4 linked regions of the Arabidopsis thaliana genome follow. The protein of the gene in region 4 purifies or fractionates together with the protein of the main gene of each other region. This does not show direct contact. Each region holds a gene or a part of one and is shown on either strand. Other genes may lie near its edges. The genes, in order: AT4G34450, AT2G34840, AT2G16200 and AT3G09800.

Evidence for each region.
Region 1: the proteins of AT3G09800 (region 4) and AT4G34450 fractionate together in Arabidopsis thaliana (co-fractionation; one large-scale study listed by BioGRID). This does not show direct contact.
Region 2: the proteins of AT3G09800 (region 4) and AT2G34840 fractionate together in Arabidopsis thaliana (co-fractionation; one large-scale study listed by BioGRID). This does not show direct contact.
Region 3: the proteins of AT3G09800 (region 4) and AT2G16200 fractionate together in Arabidopsis thaliana (co-fractionation; one large-scale study listed by BioGRID). This does not show direct contact.

The regions. Positions count from the first base shown.
Region 1 is NC_003075.7:16,468,993-16,476,781, reverse strand, and holds the start of AT4G34450 (coatomer gamma-2 subunit, putative / gamma-2 coat protein, putative / gamma-2 COP), read right to left. Parts: upstream 6,047-7,789; 5' UTR 4,827-6,046; coding exon 4,781-4,826; intron 4,557-4,780; coding exon 4,408-4,556; intron 4,306-4,407; coding exon 4,192-4,305; intron 4,102-4,191; coding exon 3,901-4,101; intron 3,822-3,900; coding exon 3,720-3,821; intron 3,286-3,719; coding exon 3,178-3,285; intron 3,098-3,177; coding exon 2,864-3,097; intron 2,725-2,863; coding exon 2,474-2,724; intron 2,342-2,473; coding exon 2,170-2,341; intron 2,097-2,169; coding exon 1,941-2,096; intron 1,870-1,940; coding exon 1,819-1,869; intron 1,637-1,818; coding exon 1,499-1,636; intron 1,420-1,498; coding exon 1,222-1,419; intron 1,141-1,221; coding exon 1,009-1,140; intron 925-1,008; coding exon 751-924; intron 555-750; coding exon 315-554; intron 182-314; coding exon 1-181. UniProt on the Arabidopsis thaliana protein: The coatomer is a cytosolic protein complex that binds to dilysine motifs and reversibly associates with Golgi non-clathrin-coated vesicles, which further mediate biosynthetic protein transport from the ER, via the Golgi up to the trans Golgi network.
Region 2 is NC_003071.7:14,700,496-14,704,873, reverse strand, and holds AT2G34840 (Coatomer epsilon subunit), read right to left. Parts: upstream 2,387-4,378; 5' UTR 2,272-2,386; coding exon 2,098-2,271; exon of another isoform or gene 2,006-2,097; coding exon 1,916-2,005; intron 1,833-1,915; coding exon 1,681-1,832; intron 1,588-1,680; coding exon 1,452-1,587; intron 1,363-1,451; coding exon 1,207-1,362; intron 1,044-1,206; coding exon 964-1,043; intron 803-963; coding exon 709-802; 3' UTR 503-708; downstream 1-502. Other genes in the region: MEE25 (NAD(P)-binding Rossmann-fold superfamily protein), read left to right, coding at 1-82. UniProt on the Arabidopsis thaliana protein: The coatomer is a cytosolic protein complex that binds to dilysine motifs and reversibly associates with Golgi non-clathrin-coated vesicles, which further mediate biosynthetic protein transport from the ER, via the Golgi up to the trans Golgi network.
Region 3 is NC_003071.7:7,022,862-7,025,772, reverse strand, and holds AT2G16200 (structural molecule), read right to left. Parts: upstream 1,167-2,911; 5' UTR 1,114-1,166; coding exon 1,057-1,113; intron 1,050-1,056; exon of another isoform or gene 1,008-1,049; coding exon of another isoform or gene 993-1,007; intron 864-992; coding exon 669-863; 3' UTR 542-668; downstream 1-541.
Region 4 is NC_003074.8:3,005,960-3,010,572, reverse strand, and holds AT3G09800 (SNARE-like superfamily protein), read left to right. Parts: upstream 1-1,962; 5' UTR 1,963-2,007; coding exon 2,008-2,225; exon of another isoform or gene 2,226-2,634; coding exon 2,635-2,665; intron 2,666-2,807; coding exon 2,808-2,967; exon of another isoform or gene 2,968-3,026; coding exon of another isoform or gene 3,027-3,078; coding exon 3,079-3,226; intron 3,227-3,320; coding exon 3,321-3,398; intron 3,399-3,548; coding exon 3,549-3,633; intron 3,634-3,782; coding exon 3,783-3,842; 3' UTR 3,843-4,060; downstream 4,061-4,613. Other genes in the region: IDH-VI (isocitrate dehydrogenase VI), read right to left, coding at 182-254, 341-450, 647-721, 858-1,019, 1,108-1,428, 1,629-1,820; UBQ8 (ubiquitin 8), read left to right, coding at 4,567-4,613. UniProt on the Arabidopsis thaliana protein: The coatomer is a cytosolic protein complex that binds to dilysine motifs and reversibly associates with Golgi non-clathrin-coated vesicles, which further mediate biosynthetic protein transport from the ER, via the Golgi up to the trans Golgi network.

The sequences.
Region 1 (7,789 bases), on a different chromosome or scaffold from region 4:
CAATCTCGTGAATGGCCTCGGCGACAGAAACGTCTTCAGCTCTAACTGTCAGCTTCATTGCAATGTCCTTTGAGCTGTCCATTCCAAACTGTGCCCTCACTAACACTTTCACGTTGCCTATGTACACACCTGACAATAGACACGTGTGTGACCTTGCATTGAGCGGAATTGTCTCCGTCCCCTGTTATTTATCCAGTGTCAGTTTCAATTTCAGGAACACAACAAATGGTCATATACTCAAAAAAGACTTTATCAACAATAATTTTAGCCCTCAAGTCTCAGTAGAGTATGAGAAAAAAGTGGAAGAGACTAACCTCACAAGTCTGCATGCCAAGAAGATCCATGACAGCCTTTACAGCTTCTCCCAAACTCTCTCTTTGGCCAAGGCCATATTCGTCTACACGCTCATCTTCTTCATCCATGCTTTCCCACGCATTCCTGAAATTGGAGACACCCACTTTCACCATGTAATCTCCAGCTACAACCTCAAGATCCTCTAGCTGGTACTCATCTTCTACTCCATCATCTTCTGCTTCACCTGTGCTTGGGTCAACCTGTTTTAACACATTCATAAAAGCACAAACAATGTAGTTAGAGAGTTTTCTTTGTTTTCTGTGATTAATTTGAGTCGTTCTGGTACTCCTCTCCAAATGAGTCGTTGTTTATAAGAGTTCTCCACAAAGTATTATGGGGTCATTTTCAGTGTAAGTAAATAAAAAGATGGAAGTGAATAGCCTATTTAACATGTACCTCCTTAACAACGAAAGTCAATGTGTTGGAGAACTTTCCAACAGCAGGGACCCCAGCTGGCTTCTCAAAAACCACAAAGGCTTGACCGGGTGAATCGTAAGGAAGTGAGTTTAGGGCCTTTGAAGTTACTTCACTGAATTCCTCAGCTTCTGAAGCATCTACAATGACATTGACCTACAACCCCATGCCAAATTAATTAAATGAGGAAAGAAAGATAAGATATGCTTGACACTAATATTCTACACCAATGTTCAGTACCCTCTCCAACAACTGCTCTGGTATTGTGTTAGTGCAGTTGTACTGAAACACCACATGACTGTCAAAGATATGCTTAACAACATTGACAGCGTATTCTGTTTCTGCTTCAGTTAGCTCCACAGGTAAAGAAGACTGAAAAAGAAAGTACAAGTTAAAGCAAACAAGATAAGCCATTAACATTAGAATAACACAGAAGACAAATCAGCCCCTAACCTTGAAAAGTTTTCCAAAGGCGGCAAACTCTGGAATGGATGAGAGAAGTCTTTCATAGCCATCAAAACCAGAAGCAGGTGCAGCTGGTGGTGCACCAAGACCAGTGGGCTTTTTACCCTGGGCTTTCTTCTCTGCAAGGGGCTGAGATTTAACTTCCTTAGGTACGGAGTTGATATCAAAAGCTTCTTCAGAGGGCTCCTGCAGGAATCCCAGATATAAGATAACTGATGTCCTAAGAATATTGAAAAGGAGAAAACCGAGAAATAGATTAACTCACATAATTCTTCAGACTAGTTTCCATGTTGACTAGAGGAACCTCCAGGGAACCAAATAGGAAATCCTTGCTCTCTTTATCAGTGTCAACAGTACCATCACCACCAAGAACACTCAAATATAGTGTTGCCCTATCACGGACCTTAAGATAAAAAGATGTCTGACTCATGAGCAAGGAAGGAATCATCAAACAACTTGCATTGCATGCATCCGAAAATGTTTACAGAGGCAAACACATGCATGCATGTTTGATGATGCAACGACTCAAAACAAACAGACATACAGAAACAGCAATGCTTTTCTAGACTAAGACTAGGAACGCACCTCATCATCACTGTCATAGATGCAACGCTTCAATAGAACAGTAATCCGGGGCTGTCGAGCATTATCATCAGTCAAAGAAGATAAACGGAAAATAAAAATAATGGTTGTTATGATGACTATACCTTCAAGGATTCAACCATAAACCCAAACTTTGCAAGTGTGGAAACAGCAGCAGCCCGGACAGTGGCGTTTTCTAGATGCACACGATTATATATATATCGTATATACTTGCTTGGATCTGAGGTGTTAGGCCCCTCAATTCCCAGAAAATGAAGGATCTGTGCGAGAATAAACATTTCAATAACACATAAGTTTTTAATAGCAACCCCAGATGGATGATGGAATAATTACCTGTGTTGAAAGATATGTGAATTCACAATCTTCAATGAATTCACATAGATGAAGCAGTCCACTTTCCTTTGCATCCGGAATATCTCTGATAATGGTCACAATAGAATCTACTATTGCTCTTTTATACTCAAATCCACCTTCTTCCCTAAGAATGTTGCTTAAGAAGGTCATCCTACAAATGAAAAGGTGATAGATCAATCATAAGCCAAATGCTAAAAAGATACCATAACATATTTAATCATTCAAAAAAATAGAAATGCTCGAGACCAAAACTACAAATAACAAACCCTAAAACTTTACTTACAAGGATCTGTATTTCAGTGGGAATTTCACACACAACGATCTTATTGCGTCCACGACCACAATTTTGAACTCATCAGCAATATCTGACATAAAATTAGTTATCTGCTTCATCAAACGTTCTACACTTGATTCGTTCCCTGTTTTCAATAGTGTGGTTATTGCGAGTGTAGCAATGCTTCTATTTTGATCAGAGATTAAACTCTCCATATCAATGTTGCAGTTGGTGACAGCCATAGGATGAGTCATTGCAACCTGTGGTTCAAACTTGTGTTTAGTATACAGTGAAATATCTCCTCATCCTCATGATAAAGGTAATGATGAATCTACCCAGAATAGTAAAACATCATTTCGGTGTCAATGTACAAAGAGAACAGTTGAAAGCATTGCAAACCTTGTTCAGAGTCCGGACAGCGGCAAATCTCAACACTGGTCTGGGGGAACTCAAAAAGAGCTGAAGAACAGTGATTGCTGGAGTCAGTTCTCGGCTTGTCACACCATCAAGCTCAGTAATTGCCCTGGCAGCCTCAAGGATCACCATTTCTGCCTTATGGCGCAGGCAACTCTCCAAAAATTCATAGAACGGACGTTCTCCAGATTGACCGTGGTTGGCCATGTCACGGATAACCTGAATATTAGAAACCAGAGCTAAATAACACATATACAATCAGCCACTTATCAAATGATCAAACAGAAGAGAGGAATAACCTGGCTGGTGTAACGTATCAAAAGACACTGAGCCAAGGGAGAGCGGACAGATCCCCTGGTCAAGCTACCAACCAATTTGCTAACAGCCAAGCGATCATTTTGGCGTATCTGAATATGATGAAAGATTATCAAGTTGATCAAAGATTGACAGTTATTAGATCAAAGATTGAGAGTGTATCATGTTGGGAGTCATTTTAAATCAACGTAACAGCAGCAATACATATCATTTGGTAACTCGTACATCTTAGACACATAAATAGGTTGTCCTAACCAACCTAATTAGTTACATATGCTAGAATCAGCAGTATCTGAGACAGACTCCAGACACAGATTAAACCTCACAAGAAACTAAAATTGCTGGAAAAGGCCGTAGTAAAGAGCTACGATGCTGCTACAGAAAACTTATTATTTATGAATCTAGTCCAATACACATAGTAACACCTCTCATTTTCCGAGATACTTCTTCTCAGTGGCTGTTTAATTAAACAAAGAGTAGAAACATAGACCAATCGACTTCGGTGATAATAATGCAACAAACTAACCTGATGGAGCAAAGCTAGGGCATGGAACTGAACAAGGGCTGATCTGGATTGAATACCTTCTTGAACTTCATTGCTCCATCTTTTAACAATTTCTGGGTTTGTCTGAAAACAGCAATATACGAATATAAGCATAACATTACAATTAAGAAGCTACCTAATAGTTTTGGTGTGTAAAAGGTACCTTGAGCAAGTGAAGCCCACTGACTAAAGCTGCACTTGAAACAACGGGATTCTTATCCACAATGGCTTGTTTCAAGTATCGCTCAATCTGAGTGAGAAGGGTTCCGTCTATTATCCGGCAGAGGACACGGATAGCATTTGCTCGATACATATCAATTTTACTATTCATATCCTTCATCAGAGAGCTTGTTACGATGATAACCTATGGGCGAAAAAACCAACAACTTATCAGAAAATATACCTACAATAAGTGCGACGATGTTCGTATTGAAATTGAGTAAAATTTACAGACCTCATCAGATGATGGAGATAACTCCTTAATGATCAAGTAGACCATTCTCCTCAAACCCGTGTCTTTTGATTGAAAAAGCTTTGTAACTGAAAAGAAAACTTCCGTTGCTTCAACCTGCATATGAAACAAACAACCATCGCGAGAGGATAAGAACACAATAATTCAATTCTCCATAAGCATGACATCGAATCAGTATAAGCAAAAAAATTAACTGACCTTGGTGAATGACTCCCCTTGGTTAAGCAAATAAAGAAGCTTCGTAATGACCTGGGAGCATCGTCTAGGATCAACCTGAGGGTCATTAAAGACTCTAGCCTCTTGAAGAACCGCTCCTTTCTCAATTCCCATGAATGGAGAATACTCCACTGATCCAACAAAAAATCAGAAATCGAAATAAGCAAAGCAATTCACACCGGGATCGAATGCGGTAAACAAAACTAAATCGGACTTGAGATTGTAGATCTACACAACCAAATCACAATCACGACTGTTGAATGATAACAGATCTAGAAGCTTAACATCTGGATCTACATTTTGCAGAAAACCAGCTGATTCGAAAATTATAAGGAGATTAAGAGAGAACACATACACTCATCGTCGTGATCATCGTCTTTCTTCACGAGGGGTTGCGCCATTTCTGATCTCGAAAACCTCCCTTTGAAATTACTCCGTCACTCAGATCTCGCGCTTTCTGTTTCCTTTATCTTCAGATGCAACAGGAGAAAGAAGAAGATCTCTAATCGTTTTCTTCTACTATATGTTTTTGAGTCAGAGAACTCAGAAACTGTGAGAGATCGATAGAGAAAGTGAACTTTTCGAAGCGGCCCAATAGCCCATACCCAAACAAAAAATATTAAAGAAATACTAAGATTATTTTTTTTTTGTCCCAAGAGAAATATTGTATTAATCAAGATAGTCAAAGCTTAAAGAAAAGTCCGCGATTACAGAAACGATTTAGGACCAAATAGGCCAACAGAGAGTCTTTCATAGAAGAAGAAACTATAGTTTGACTCTATCCCAAACCACATGTCGATATATTAATATACGTGTCAGATGAGTACTCTAAAGCGAACCGACTTCATTTTCGCCGTCTGAGCACCGATTTCGGTGAAAGAATCACCGTCGATAGTCTCATAGAACATGGATCTTTTTGTTTTTTCACCGATAAAAAGCAATCGAGGCTCATGTTAAATATACAACAGCTTAAGGCTATGATAATTAACAACAGAATCCACTTCTTTTCTTCAACATCATTCTCAAATTTCTCCAAAAATTTCTGTAAATCAAAACTTAAAAAAGAACAGATCGGATAAGAAGCATTAGAAAGCGAGATTGCATTCACTCTATCACCAACATGTCTCAGATGAGAATTATTAAAAACAAAACATGAAAATAAAAAAACACAGATTAAAAATCGATCTACATCGACGAGAGAAACCAAGAGCCAGCAACCACCGGTTATGTGAACAAGACGCTGCCGGACTAGAGCCAACCAACACCGCTACCAGAGCCGGTGATATCGGACAGAAAGCCCAAAAAGTCAGGACGGCTAACACCAGAAAATATCCGATCGTTGAAACTGATTTGCTTTCTCTCTAAAAAAAATATAAGCGAGAGAACAGAGAGGTTTTGCCCGTTCCCCTAATTATTTCGAATTATAAAATACAACACCAATTAAAAATAATAAAATTTTGGTATTCATATACGTTATAGATACCATAACTTGGTATAAATTAAGGCTTTGTACTCTGCATTTCAACAAAATCACACACTAATTTCTTTTGGTCAATTATTACAACATGTCATTTAAAAATATTTTGATTCTAAACAAAATAGCAAACTATTTAAATTATATATAAATCATATTGAACCTATAAACACCTCTTACAGGTTTGAATGTTATATTCAATTAGTTTACACAAAATTTTAATTTTTTACACTTAACAAAAAAAAATTTAAAATCTTAATAGTAAAATAAAAATAGAAACATTTTTTAATATAAGAAAAATTAAATTATATGTAAACCATATTGAACCTAACCTCTTAGGAGTTAAGATTTATCCAATTAGTTTACACAAAATTAAAAAAAAAACTTAAGATCTTAATAGTAATAGAAAAATATAGGTTTAAAACATTTTTTAATATAAGGAAAACAAGTGTTAAAACTTTAAATAATGTGTAAACCATATTGAAACTAGAACACTATTTAGGGGTTTGGATGATGTATCCAATTAGCTTACACAAATTTAAATATTTAACACTTAATAAAAAAACTTAAAACTTTAATAGTAGTATAAAAATAAAGGTTTAAAACATATTTTTGATATAAGAAAAACAAGTGTTAAAAATTTAAATAATGTGTAAACCATATTGAACCTAGAACACCTCTTAGGGGTTTGGATGATGTATCCAATTAGTTTACACAAAATTTAAAAATTCAACACTTAATAAAAAAAAACTTCAAATTTTAATAGTAGTATAAAAATTTAGGTTTAAAAACATTTATTTAATAAATATAAAAAACAAGTGTTAAAAATTTAAATGATGTGTAAACCATCTATTGAACCTAGAACACCTCTTAGGGGATTGGATGATGTATCCAATTAGTTTACACAAAATTTAAAAATTTAATATTTAATAAGAAAAACCTTAAAACTTTAATAGTAGTATAAAAATATAGGTTTAAAAACAGTTTTTAATAAAAACAAAAACAAGTGTTAAAAATTTAAATTAATTTACACAAAATTGAAAATTTTAACACTTAATAAAAAAATCTAAAAATAAATTTTTATTTAGTAAAAAATGAATCATTAAAAATAGAAAAGGAAAAAAGAAAATACCTTTGCTTGTGATATCGACGAAACACAAGATTTTCAAAAGATCTCGTCGACGCCAAGGAAACACCTAGTACCAAACACAGATCATGATCCATTGATTTGGTTCTATACTGCTCGTTGCTTTCATTGTCCATGTCTTCGTTATATCCCTCTTTCCCACTTTCGCATCCTTAGTCGTCGTTTGTGTTCTCCTTCGCCGTCGACAACTGAATCCATGGCCGGGATCTTTGATCTTGTGAAATTAGGAGAGACTTGATATGAAAGCAATCTGAATTGACCTAAGATGTAGTCACAACAGAGATCAATCACCAAAAAGAGCCGCTTTATCAACCGATCAATCTTACGGTGAAGTTGAAGCAGAGAATGGAGAATTAGGTTTTGGTTTGGAAGAAGAAGAGAGAATGGAGAATTTGGATTTCTCAAGAAAGAAGAGGTATATATAAGTAAAGGTTTGTTCAATCTTACGGTGAAGTTGAAGCAGAGAATGGAGAATTAGTAAGATCGCGTCTTCTCCACGTCAATATTTAGATTCAGAGCAAATCCTTACGTGGTTTAGGTTTCCAGGAAGAAGAAGAGAGAATGGAGACTTTTCTCAAGGAAGAAGAGAGAAGGGGTGTATTTATAAGTACACGTTTGTTCAATGAAAAAAGGAAATTTTGATTGTTTCCTTTTCTTATTTGAGTAGCAGAAACAAAAAGGAAATTTTATCACAACGGTAACAAAAGGATACGCCTAACCCTAACCGTATCACACTTTTAGAA
Region 2 (4,378 bases), on a different chromosome or scaffold from region 4:
AGAAAGTTTAAAGATGGCATGGAGATGGCAAAAGCTTCATCGCAGTGGCTATGGATCTTCTTCCTTGGTTTCTGCATACTGACCATTATGCATTAGGTATGTGAGCATTGCCCTTCAAGGACTCCTTCATTAGAGTCTTGATTCTAGATGGTAGTGAAGGTAGTAGAAGAAGATGGATTTATTCTTAGTAGAATAGTATTCATCTTATCCATATATAGAGATTATATATGAGATTATTGATTAATAAAATATCATCCATGTCAATCACCTATTTTATTGTGATTGAGGTTTATCAAAATCCTAACGGAAGACATATGTCGCTTCTTTGTGTAAAAAGTGAAAATCATTGGTTGGAAAAAAATTGAAGTATTTCCAAGTGAGAAGCTTTTGTTTGTTTTGGTATTTCTAGTTTGGATTCAAACGATCGGTTGAATTCACTCAAGGTTTCGGGTTGAGTTACACGATCTGGATTGGTTAGGTTCGAAATTAAGTAAATGACAAACGGAATTGAGAGTGCGAGAGGTGGAATTTGATATTTTCAAGTAATGAAATGTAACTTAACATATCTAATGGCAAAAGCTGGTTCATATACTGGTTTCGAAAAGACAAGACAGTATGGTTGTTCTGGTAGATTTACCAACCCGGTGAAAATATGCGGTAAAGCAAACAAATCCTGCACGTCTTTTAGCTTGAACCATGGAAGAGTCTTTAGGCGACCAATTGAACTGCTCTCTCGAAGTTATCTTCAGCTGATGATACACGCTTCACAAGTATGTGTTCCGGGTGTGAAAGTTTTAGCTGGCTGCAAGAAGGATAGGTGATACAAATGAAGTTAACAAACGAGACCGACCAATGTTTTTATTAGGATTAAGGACACAGTTACTCTCGATTAACTTTTCAGTGAGTTCTACTGATTGATTGGGCAAATGATGCCTAATATAAGAGTAGATAATGAAAATTTACCTTAGGTGGCGTGAAGAAGACTTCCCGACATGAAGACTGCACACAACAAGATTTGCAAGAGTTTCTGGATCTTTAGCATCCTGCAATCACCACAAATTAGTATAAACACACTTCCCCATATACAGAAAAGCCAAGAGACAAGTGCAGTGTGAGAAATTTAGAGAGGTCCCTAGTTTCATATTGTTCCCGAGAATGCTAATGTACAGAGCAAATTTAAGGTACACAAGCCTAATTTGTAGTTACCTTGTTGAGTGCTTCAAGAAGTAGTGTTTCAGCTTCATCGAAGTTACCCATTTGCATACAGCAAACAGCTTTGCCATTCAAGATCAAGCATGTCATTGGGTACTTCTCAGAAAAATCCTCGAAAATGAGATAAGCTTCCTGTATCTTCGAACCGCCCTGAAATCAAATAACGCCTTAGCATAAGAAGCAAATACACAACTCTTTGAAAGAATAAGCCAGAACACATTGAATATTTCGCATTATACCACTGCCAGGTTCAACCAAGCGCTAGCAAGTTGAGTGAGAGTGTGGTCTTCATCAATCTGTTGCATCACTCTAAGCTGCTTCTCAGCATACTCTGCTCTATGCATCTTAATGAATATCTGAACATTCAAGGCATACCTAGAAAAACAATAGCAATGAGCCATCTAAGAACATGTTTTAAAACACAGTATAAATACTCAATCCACCAAATAAAAATCGAAAAAATCTTACAAATCCATAGTTCCTCCAGCATGAGTATGCTTCAAAGTTTCATTATAATCTTCTTCATGCATGAAAATAATACCAGCAATCAATCGTAATGTATCATTGTTTCCTATTGTTGAATCTGCTAACCATTCCTTCAAGCTTGAAATTGTTGATTCCTGAACCAATAACAATCGTTCCATATAAGCATTTGAATCTCTTTACAACATGTTTCGTGAACACGAATCAAAGCCGTAATTACCTTATTTTGAGGAGTCGATAGATACATAGCGAGGAGTTTGACTGCTTGTAGTGGAGTAGCGGCTGATTCATCGATCTCACTGATAACAAGCTTATACACACCAAAATTTGGAAGAACAGATCAAAACAAAACGTAATCGAATCTAAAGAAGAAGACATTATCGATATGATTAGAGAAGTAACCTGATAGCTACCGAGGGCGATGTAAGATCGGAAGACGAGACAGTCACGTTCCACGGCGTTTTCCGGCGAGAGGTTGGCGATCTCGCTGTTGTTGATCGCCGTTTGATAAGCTCCCAAATAGAAATTGTTTCTGAGGTTGAAGAGGTGATCTGGTCCTGCTCCCATGGCTGACATTGCTTCTTCTTCTTCTTCTTCTTCTTCTTCTTCTTCTTCTTCTTCTTCTTCTTCTTCTTCTTCTTCTTCTTCTTCTTCTTCTAGATTTCACAGCTTCGCGTCTAATTCCAAAATCCAAACGAAAGTAAACGGGTTAATAACATAATAACCCCTTAAGTTATAAACTGAATGCATAATAATCCCAGTTCTTTTTGAACTGTTCAAGTAACATCACTAATTTGATTTGGGCCTTGTGCGGCAAAATAACGAATCAGGTTCTTTGTTTGACTCCTGGGCTTTATATCTAGTTGTGTGTTGTGAGCTTTTGGTCAGTCTATGTTTTAAAATCAGAAACGTGAACAAGTTTTTTTTATATATTAAGCATATCACACACTACTCGAAATAGTATTAGACGACAGACATGGTTGAATTAGTGTACTAGATGTCTACATTTGGTAGTGTTCAAAAAAAAAAAAGATGTCAACATTTGGTTGAACGAGCTATTCTTAATTAAAAGAAAATCAATAAATTCATATTTGTTATTATCAGAATGTGTTAGGTTAGTTTTATCGGTCTAGATGATTTTGTATTACGGTGATGTTAATCGGTTGAATAGTCATTGTATATATACTTGTACAAAATACATTTACGGAAATTTAATCAGAAAATATCTTCTTCTTCATCTGTAACAAACTTTCTTATCTCTCGATCGTAATATGGTATTAGAGCCATCAAAGCTCAAATTTCTTCATAAATCATCTCATGTCGATCTAAGAAGCAACATGTTATTTCTAGATACTGAGCATTAGCTCTTGCTACTTGTGAGTTGGTTTGGTTGCATACATTGCTCGTATCTTAAACGGATACTACTTCGATTCTTATCTTGTTTTCAGACAGTACAGATGTTATCTATATTGCAATCAATTATATCTTCCATGAGAGCACGAAATATATTGAGATTGACTGCCATACCGTGCGTGACAAGTTGGATGATGGTGAGCTTAAACTGCTTCATGTTCCCACGGATGATCAAATAGCTGATATTTTGCTAAACATTTGTTCTCACATCAGTTTGAACATCTAAAGTCCAAGATGAGCATTCTCAACATTTTCGAATCCTCATATTGAGGGGTCATATCAGAGAGTGTTGATTTAATTTATCGGTTTAATTGATTTTGTATTACGCGGGTTATATTAACCGGTTGTATTGTCATCGTATATATACTTGTACAAAATACATTTACAGAAATTTAAGGGGAAAATATCTTCTTCTTCATCTGTAACAAACTTTCTCATCTCTCAATCGTAATAATTATATATAGGATATAGTTAAATAAACATAGTTCAAATTTAAATCATGTTATAATATACATATAAGAGTATGACTGTTGTTTTTGTATGAACTTGAGGAACACTTAAAGGGCATGGTCGATTTTACGTAAAGTCAATATTCATTTCACATGTTCAAAGAAGTCCTCGTGCTACACAACCCAATTAATAACATAAATCAATACTATAGTTTATCAAAAAATATCAACCTCTAAAGTCTAAATGTTCTATCAATTTGTGTACTTGTGATTCGTGCAATTCTCTGTGTAATGGGTTTAGGCTCGCTTTTAGCTGAATTAGAATAATTAATGAGTTATGGTTATCAGACATTAATTACATGCACCTTTTAAATGTAAAATGCATCTTCTTGGAATAAGCTCCTCTAGTTTGGTTCTTACTTTATGCAAATTTTGTTTTAATGAATCTCTTTTCTCAAGTAATCTATAATAAGTTTACTATTTGTAATCCCTAATAATCCAAAGGCCTTCTCACTTCTAAAAGTTATCATCATATGCATCTTTTAAATAGCATTGATGTGTCTAATCATACGTTACCAATCTAAACACACATATTCCGTGGTTAATCAGATTTATCTTTCTTTGTCAATTTAAATTCTTATATTGTTTTAAATATATCTGACTGGATAACAGATATTAAATATTACTATTTTTATAGAATCCGTTCATCAACATGCGTCACCGTAGAACGAGGGATGCATGACTTATTTTGTTTTAATTTTTGCACCGTATGGTCTAATTATTGTAGTAAACAATATATAAGTTCATGCCGTTTCATATTA
Region 3 (2,911 bases), on a different chromosome or scaffold from region 4:
TATCTTTCATTTTGTTTGGTCTCAAGAACAAGGTTTTGCAGTTTCTTTTAGTTCTCTGTCTTAATCTTGATTATTTATGCTTAACATTTTCAACATTGTTTCTTCTGGATGAGAATGGTCCTTTGTTCTTTTTCAACATCTTGTACTGTTTGTCATTTGTGTGTGATGGGACTAATTTATTTCATGATGACACTTTGGACTCAAATACTTAATGGGATTTGTATTTGTAAAAATGTTCACTGATTTTTCACTGTAATTGAAGGAAACATTCCTTCAGTTCTATCATTTTTTGAAAGGTTGAAACTTTTGGTTCTCTGTAACAATGGGTCTCTTGAGCTGTCTTTGAAAGATGTAACAGTCCTTGTGGGCTTTGTTGCTTCTCTAAGTTTTTTTTGTCTGAATGTGAATCGACTTTAGCAACTGAATCGATTGAACAGGTTACTAGTTATTAGTATTCTTCTGCCACCGTACTATAATTAAACAAACTTGTGTGAATCAACGAAAGAAGAAACGATCCACTACGACATATCCTCAAATAAGCTCATCAAAAGAATATTTATACTAATGGTAAAAAGTAGCAAACTCAAAAAAATGTTTAGAGAAATGACAATAAGCACTTTTCAAGACCAAAAGCGAAAGGGAAAGATCCCTGCGAACCTTTGATATGTTTAGCCGTTAGCAACAAGTGCGTGAATCGCATCGCTGACAGATGGATCCTCTGCTCGAACAGCCAGTTTCATTACAATTTCCTTTGAGCTGTCCATTCCAAACTGTGCCTTCACCAACACTTTCACGTTCCCTATATACAAACCTGATGGTAAACATGTGTGTGATCTTGCGTTGCTTGCAACCGTCTCCGTACCCTGAACCCGAAACCCCCGAAACAATTATCATAAGAATTAAGAAGAACAACAATGCCAGATCATATCTCAGTTATGATTTTTTTTTATGCTAATGAAAAATGTATTAACGTATGAAGAAGCGCGCCTAACCTTACAAGACTGCATGCCAAGAAGATCAGTTACAGCTTTTACAGCTTCCCCTAAACTGTCCCACTTTTAACAGGGATGTGCAGCTTAATTCCTTTAGCTCCAATGTTTTATAAAGATCCATTTTGTCTCCCGCAAAAGTGATTCATTTCCCTCTTTCGAAAACAAGCATTATTAGCCGTCCGTGGTGAATGTGTATGGCTACTTTATATAACTAACTCTGTTTCAACTTGAAAGAAAATGCCACCACTTTAATAAAGAAACACTAAAGGAAAACAAATGATACGAATGATAGTTTTTTATAAATTTTTCTCTTTCATTTTACGTCTTACTATTGCGGCGGCATGTGTAACCTTGTTAACAAATTTTACCTGCCATATTAAATATATTTATTGTTTTGCATTAACAGTTTACAATATCACTTTTTTGTAATAAAACAAAATTTACTTAAACTACATATAAATAAAAACAGTGGAAGTTTAACCAAAATATATTATATTTTATTATGTAAACTATGGTTTTTAAAGTTAATAACTCACATGATTGTGGCACGTGTCAAATCTATCGACCAAATATAGATATGAATTAAATAATTGATTTTTTTTCCTTTACAGAAATAGCAAAATTAAAAAATAAAACAAATTTACATATACTAATTTATATAATTATATCTAAAAAAAAATATTTTTCTTAACCAAAAGATAAATTAACAAATTTGTTTTTATATGTGTTATTGATCAATTAAAATTTAACATTTATTAACAAAATTTGTATTTATCATTGTATTATAGTATTTTCATTCGTTATATTAGATCAAAAAATATTAATGAGTTTATGAGAATAAATTTTGAATTACTATGCTTTATTCGAAGAATTATAAAGCATCATATCATGTGATAGAAGGTCTTGCATCCTTTATAAATTATAACCGTCTAGTTACACCTATTTAGTGCGAACCATTTTTTCGTGAAAGGTATGCAATTTTATTAAAACACTAGATGTTGACCTGCGGTACACCGCGGGTCTATATTTTCTTTAAAAAGTTATTTTTTATTTTAATTAATATTATTTATATATGAATAACATATTCAAGAGATATATTACGGGTCTATAATTTTATTAAATAAAAATTGATTTTTTTGTCTTTAAAATGATTTATATATATATATATAGGCCATTGTTTTTTTAATGTATGATACACCTTGTGACGATTTTTATAACTAAAATTTATATTTAATTTTAAATTGTATCTGTTGTGTTAATATTATTTATTTTGTTTAGTGTTTACAATTGTATAATTATGTTTTGATTGTTAATTCTAGGGTTTCACCCATAATATATCATCCCGTAATAATATCGATCAAGACATATCCCATATAACCATGTCCCATGAAGTTAAACATCATTTTATTATTTTCTTATAAAATTCAAATACTATAAATATTTGAAACTTCAAAAACAAAATTAATATTGATCTAAACTTTATAATTGTATTTTGATTATTATATCTAAGATTTTGTCATAGTTTTATAAACTTCAAATATTTATAATAATAGAACTTCAAAAAAACTTATTTCGATCCAAACTTCATTTAATTGTTATATCTAGAACTTTATATGTGGTATATCGTCCCATATTAACATCTTTTTTAAGTATTTATAATGTTTAATTTTATAATATTCAAACTTTTTATAACGTTCAAATATTTATAATATTTAAATCTTCATAAAAGTTTTAAAATTATAAATATTTAAAACGTTGTAAAGTTTAGTATTTATAATATTTTGAAACTTTTTAAAGTTTTGAGTCCTTAAAAAAAATACCGGAGTAAACCGGTTAACATTCTAAATTTTGGATGCCTGATAAATCAAGCTTTTTGCTCATTCGTATTAAGAATCATCTTGATCCTTTTTATAGTATGA
Region 4 (4,613 bases):
CTCAGGAACAGCTTCTATCATACTTAGTTTTAGGGTAAAAGTAGGCAAGTTCACTTAAATTTGTCAAAATCTGTAATGCAGTGTCTAAATCCTATTTACTCTAATAATTTAACAAGTTAACAACAACTCTATGCATCAAACGAATTTAGAACGATGATAACATCTAAGAATGATGACTAACCATTCCAGCAATATCAGGTGCAGAGCCGTGAACAGCTTCAGCAAGGGCAATACCATCCTCCCCAATATTCATACTGGAACAAAACATAATAAGAGCATAAGATGATTGCCTCATTTTCATACTAGACAATAATCTGTGAGACGAAGAAACAAATGTTACCTAGGAGTCAGTCCTAGTCCCCCAACAAGTCCAGCACACAAATCGCTGATAATATCTCCATAGAGATTTGGCATCACCAAGACATCAAAAAGTGCTGGGTTTTTCACAAGCTGTCAGAATTAAGATTATCAATCCCACATTGTTCCATAAGTAAAATTAGCGAAAAGCAGACCCAAGTATGGGTTGCTGGGAAATCTAACCTTCAAAATCAACAAGATTATCCCAAATACTAACTTAATTAACAATGAGATTGACCTTTACATAATTTGGAACAAAAGATAGGGTGGATATCATGTTATAGCTTACCATCATACAGCAATTGTCAATAACAACCTTCTCGTAATATATCTCAGGATACTTCGCAGCAACTTCATCACAACACTGCAAAGCAGGAAGCAAATAAAAACTTGTCTCAGAACAAAGGTTAAGAAAAAGAAGCCAGTGAGAGACTAGAAAAATTGCTATGTTCCCCTAATTGAGAAGTGCTAATGTATTCTGAGTTCCAAAATGAGCTGACCTGCAGGAAAAGACCATCAGTTTTCTGCATAATGTTGGCTTTGTGAATTGCAGAAACTTTCTTCCTTCCGTGAGTCTTGGCATAAAGAAAGGCATACTCGGCAACTCTCATACTCGCCTTACGGGTAATAATTTTAAGACTTTCCACTACACCCTTGACGACCTAGCAAATAAAAATGACAAATCATCAACATGGCTCTAAAAATGATACTAGATACAGATTCACTAAAATGACAGAACAATAGACTAACCTGGTGTTCAAGCCCACTGTACTCTCCTTCAGTGTTCTCACGAATGGTAATGAGATCAACATCATCATAACGGGTTTTGTAACCAGGAAGACTGTAACAAGGCCTAACATTGGCATACAAATTCAGCTCTTTCCTAAGAGTAAGGTTCAAGGAACGGTGACCCTTTCCAATTGGAGTAGCCATTGGTCCTTTCAAACCAACCTTGTTTTTAAGCACAGATTGAAGATTATCCCATGTCAAGAAACTATTGGTTCTAGGATCTACTTCAGTACCAACAAACTGTTCGTCCCAATCAATAACCACATCAGCGGCAGTAAACACCTGGATCAGCATAAAGGGAAAACATTTTCAGAACCATCAGCTATAAACTAAAAAAAACAAACTTTATGATTCAAATCTCTCCCTTGACACGTCTCAAAAAGTATTCAGACATTATGGTTCCTAAGAGTATCCAGAATCTATAACAAAATTTATATGGTAACATAAATTACACAACACCAAAGTAGATTGAAAAAAGGGACCTGCTTGACAGATTCAGCGATTTCGGGACCGATCCCATCACCGGGAAAGAGAGTAGCTTTGATCGGAGTGGAGGAGGAGAAGAAAGCCCTAGAAACGGAAATGAACGGACCGGAGCTAGAACTCGAAGTCCCGAGAATCTGGCTCGATCCGTTACCGATAAGCCGTCTCGCGAGAAATGCTGTCATGGTCATCGCTTCCAGCCTCAGAAGGACGCAGAGAGAGAAAGAGAGGAAAGAGGAGACTTTTTGCTGCGTTGGACCTGAAAAAGTTTACTTTTATACCTTCTCTAGCTCCAGCAGAGAAGCAGAGAACATTTCGATTTCCATGAAATAAAACGGCACAAAGTTAGTGTCTGAAAATAAGAAACGGCATCAGCCTATGTTCTTAAACGGCCATGGTCAAATGAACCGGATATCAATAAATTATAAAAACCGGTCAGATGAAATTAAGCATTCAGATCCCGATAAGCAGTGTGACACTGAAACAGCGAAAGGAGCTCTCTCTCACTCCGAGGCGATTTCTTCTGTCTCGACGATCTTGCGCTTTTCACATTTGAATCCTCCAATCCATTACTTCTTCTCCGATCTTTTATTCCGGTGATCCTTTGGATTATGATTATCGAGATCCATTGCTGCCTATTTGAGTCTTGAATCATTTGTTTGCGTTCTCATCTGTGCTTAGTTATGTGATTCTCCGATAAGATTTAGTTATGTGATTAATGCATGTATGTATCAATCCGAATTTTGGTGATTCGTTGTCTATTATTAAATACGTCAATCTCCATTTGTAATCCCTGGTTGAAATAATAGCTATCTTGTCATGGAGATCATCAACATTACATTTACTACACTACACACATAATGTCACATATGATCTTAGTATATGTACTCTTTTGTACCAGTGACTAGAACAACTGTGAGTGTGGGTTGAAGTTTTTAATATCTTGTTAAAATCGAAAGTTTTTGACTCAGATACTACTTGGTTTTGTTTTTGTCACTGTTTCAGGTACATCTCAAGTCTTACAACAATGTCTCCTGTAAGTACATATGCATTATATGATTGTATTTCGTATTCTGTTAGAATGTGTGTATGTTGCCGCAATCATACAGCTTTGTAGGAGTTTTACTCTTTTTTTGGACTGGAACTTAATTACTGACTTTCCAATGTACATTGAATAGGATTCTTGTCCTTTGGTAAAGAAGATTCTTCTTCTAGACTCTGAAGGAAAGCGTGTGGCTGTCAAGTATTACTCGGATGACTGGCCAACTAATGCCGCCAAGTTAAGTTTTGAGAAGTATGTATTCTCAAAGACCTCTAAGACCAATGCTCGTACAGAAGGTAAGACTACATAACATTTTTCATCTACACAATTTCTATCATGTTTCCTGACTTCGTGTATGCTTATATACTTATCTCTTTCAAATAGCCATATCGATGTTTTATGTGCAGCTGAGATCACACTGTTGGACAGCAATATTATTGTCTATAAGTTTGCCCAGGACCTTCACTTCTTTGTTACTGGAGGTGAAAATGAAAACGAGCTCATCTTAGCTTCTGTTCTTCAAGGCTTTTTTGATGCTGTTGCACTTCTTCTGAGGTATTTGTTTGACTTGACAACTGAATATGCCTTTATTTATTGATCAACCATCTCCACAACTAAAGTATGATGCATCCCTTTTTTTTTTTACCAGGAGCAATGTGGAAAAGATGGAAGCCCTTGAGAACTTGGATCTCATCTTTCTATGCCTTGATGAAATGGTCGATCAAGGGTATGCAAGTTTAATAGTTTAGCCCTACACGACAATTACATAAAAGTCTTAAGCATGCTAAAGATTTGCTCAACCTTTTTTAAGCTTGTCCCATATATCTTAGCAGTTAGCTATTGTCTGATTGTGGCTTATTATGGAATATGTGTTAAGGGTGGTTCTTGAAACGGATCCAAACGTCATTGCGGGGAAAGTAGCAATGCAGAGCACAGAAGCTAGTGGTTCACTCTCTGAACAGGTAACGACACTTTTGACTATTATTGTTACATCTCCCTGTGGAAAAGCAATAGTCTTGATTTAGTTTTGCTATAACTTTGGTCTGGTTTGGCTATAAACACAAACGTGAACTTCTAATTTGAACCCTCTGTTTACATTTCGGTATTGCAGACACTAACACAAGCGCTAGCAACAGCTCGGGAGCATCTGGCAAGAAGTCTGCTTACATGAGTTCCATCATGGCGACACAATAATAGAAGCATGGACTTCAATTTCTATGTTGAGCAACTTTTTATTTTTGAGTCTTTCGGTTTGAAAGTCTCTAATAATTGAATTCTGCAAACAAACTCTTAAAGTTTGGTAGTAAAGGTTTGATTATATATATAGCTTTGTGCAATGCATGAATGTTTTTGGAGAGTGGAATTTTATTACTCTAATTGAAGTCTAAACTCTAAGCAATTCAGGAATATTTCATTTTCCAAGCGATTTCAGATGCTAGTGATCTTGTAAGGTGAAGAAAGACTAAAGTGCCACCCCTCAGAACCTTCTATTTTGAGGTGCACGCCATATCAGAAGAGCAAGAATTGTTTTGGTTCGTATTTTATAAAAATAATCAAAGCAAGAATTGTTTTGGTTCGCATTTTATAAAAAAATCAAAGCGATAAACAAGATAATACTAAATTTCGAATTATTTAATTAACAGATTAAGTCGAATATTTTATAATTATCGAAAGCTGATTTAAATCCAAAACTTTTCCTCTTCTATATAAACTGAGAAACGCTTTTACTCAAACCCTAAATCGATCGTTCTGCAAAAGTTTTCTGTGAAGTACTACTACTCTCTCTCAAGGTATTTGTTTCTTCTATCTCTTCTCATCATCTTTTTTCGCCTGATCTTTTTGGTTCTTACCATTCAGAATCCTCCTTTCTCTCCCATAAAAAAAATTGTTTACAGATGACAATTCAAATCTACGCAAAGACTCTTACAGAAAAGACCATAAC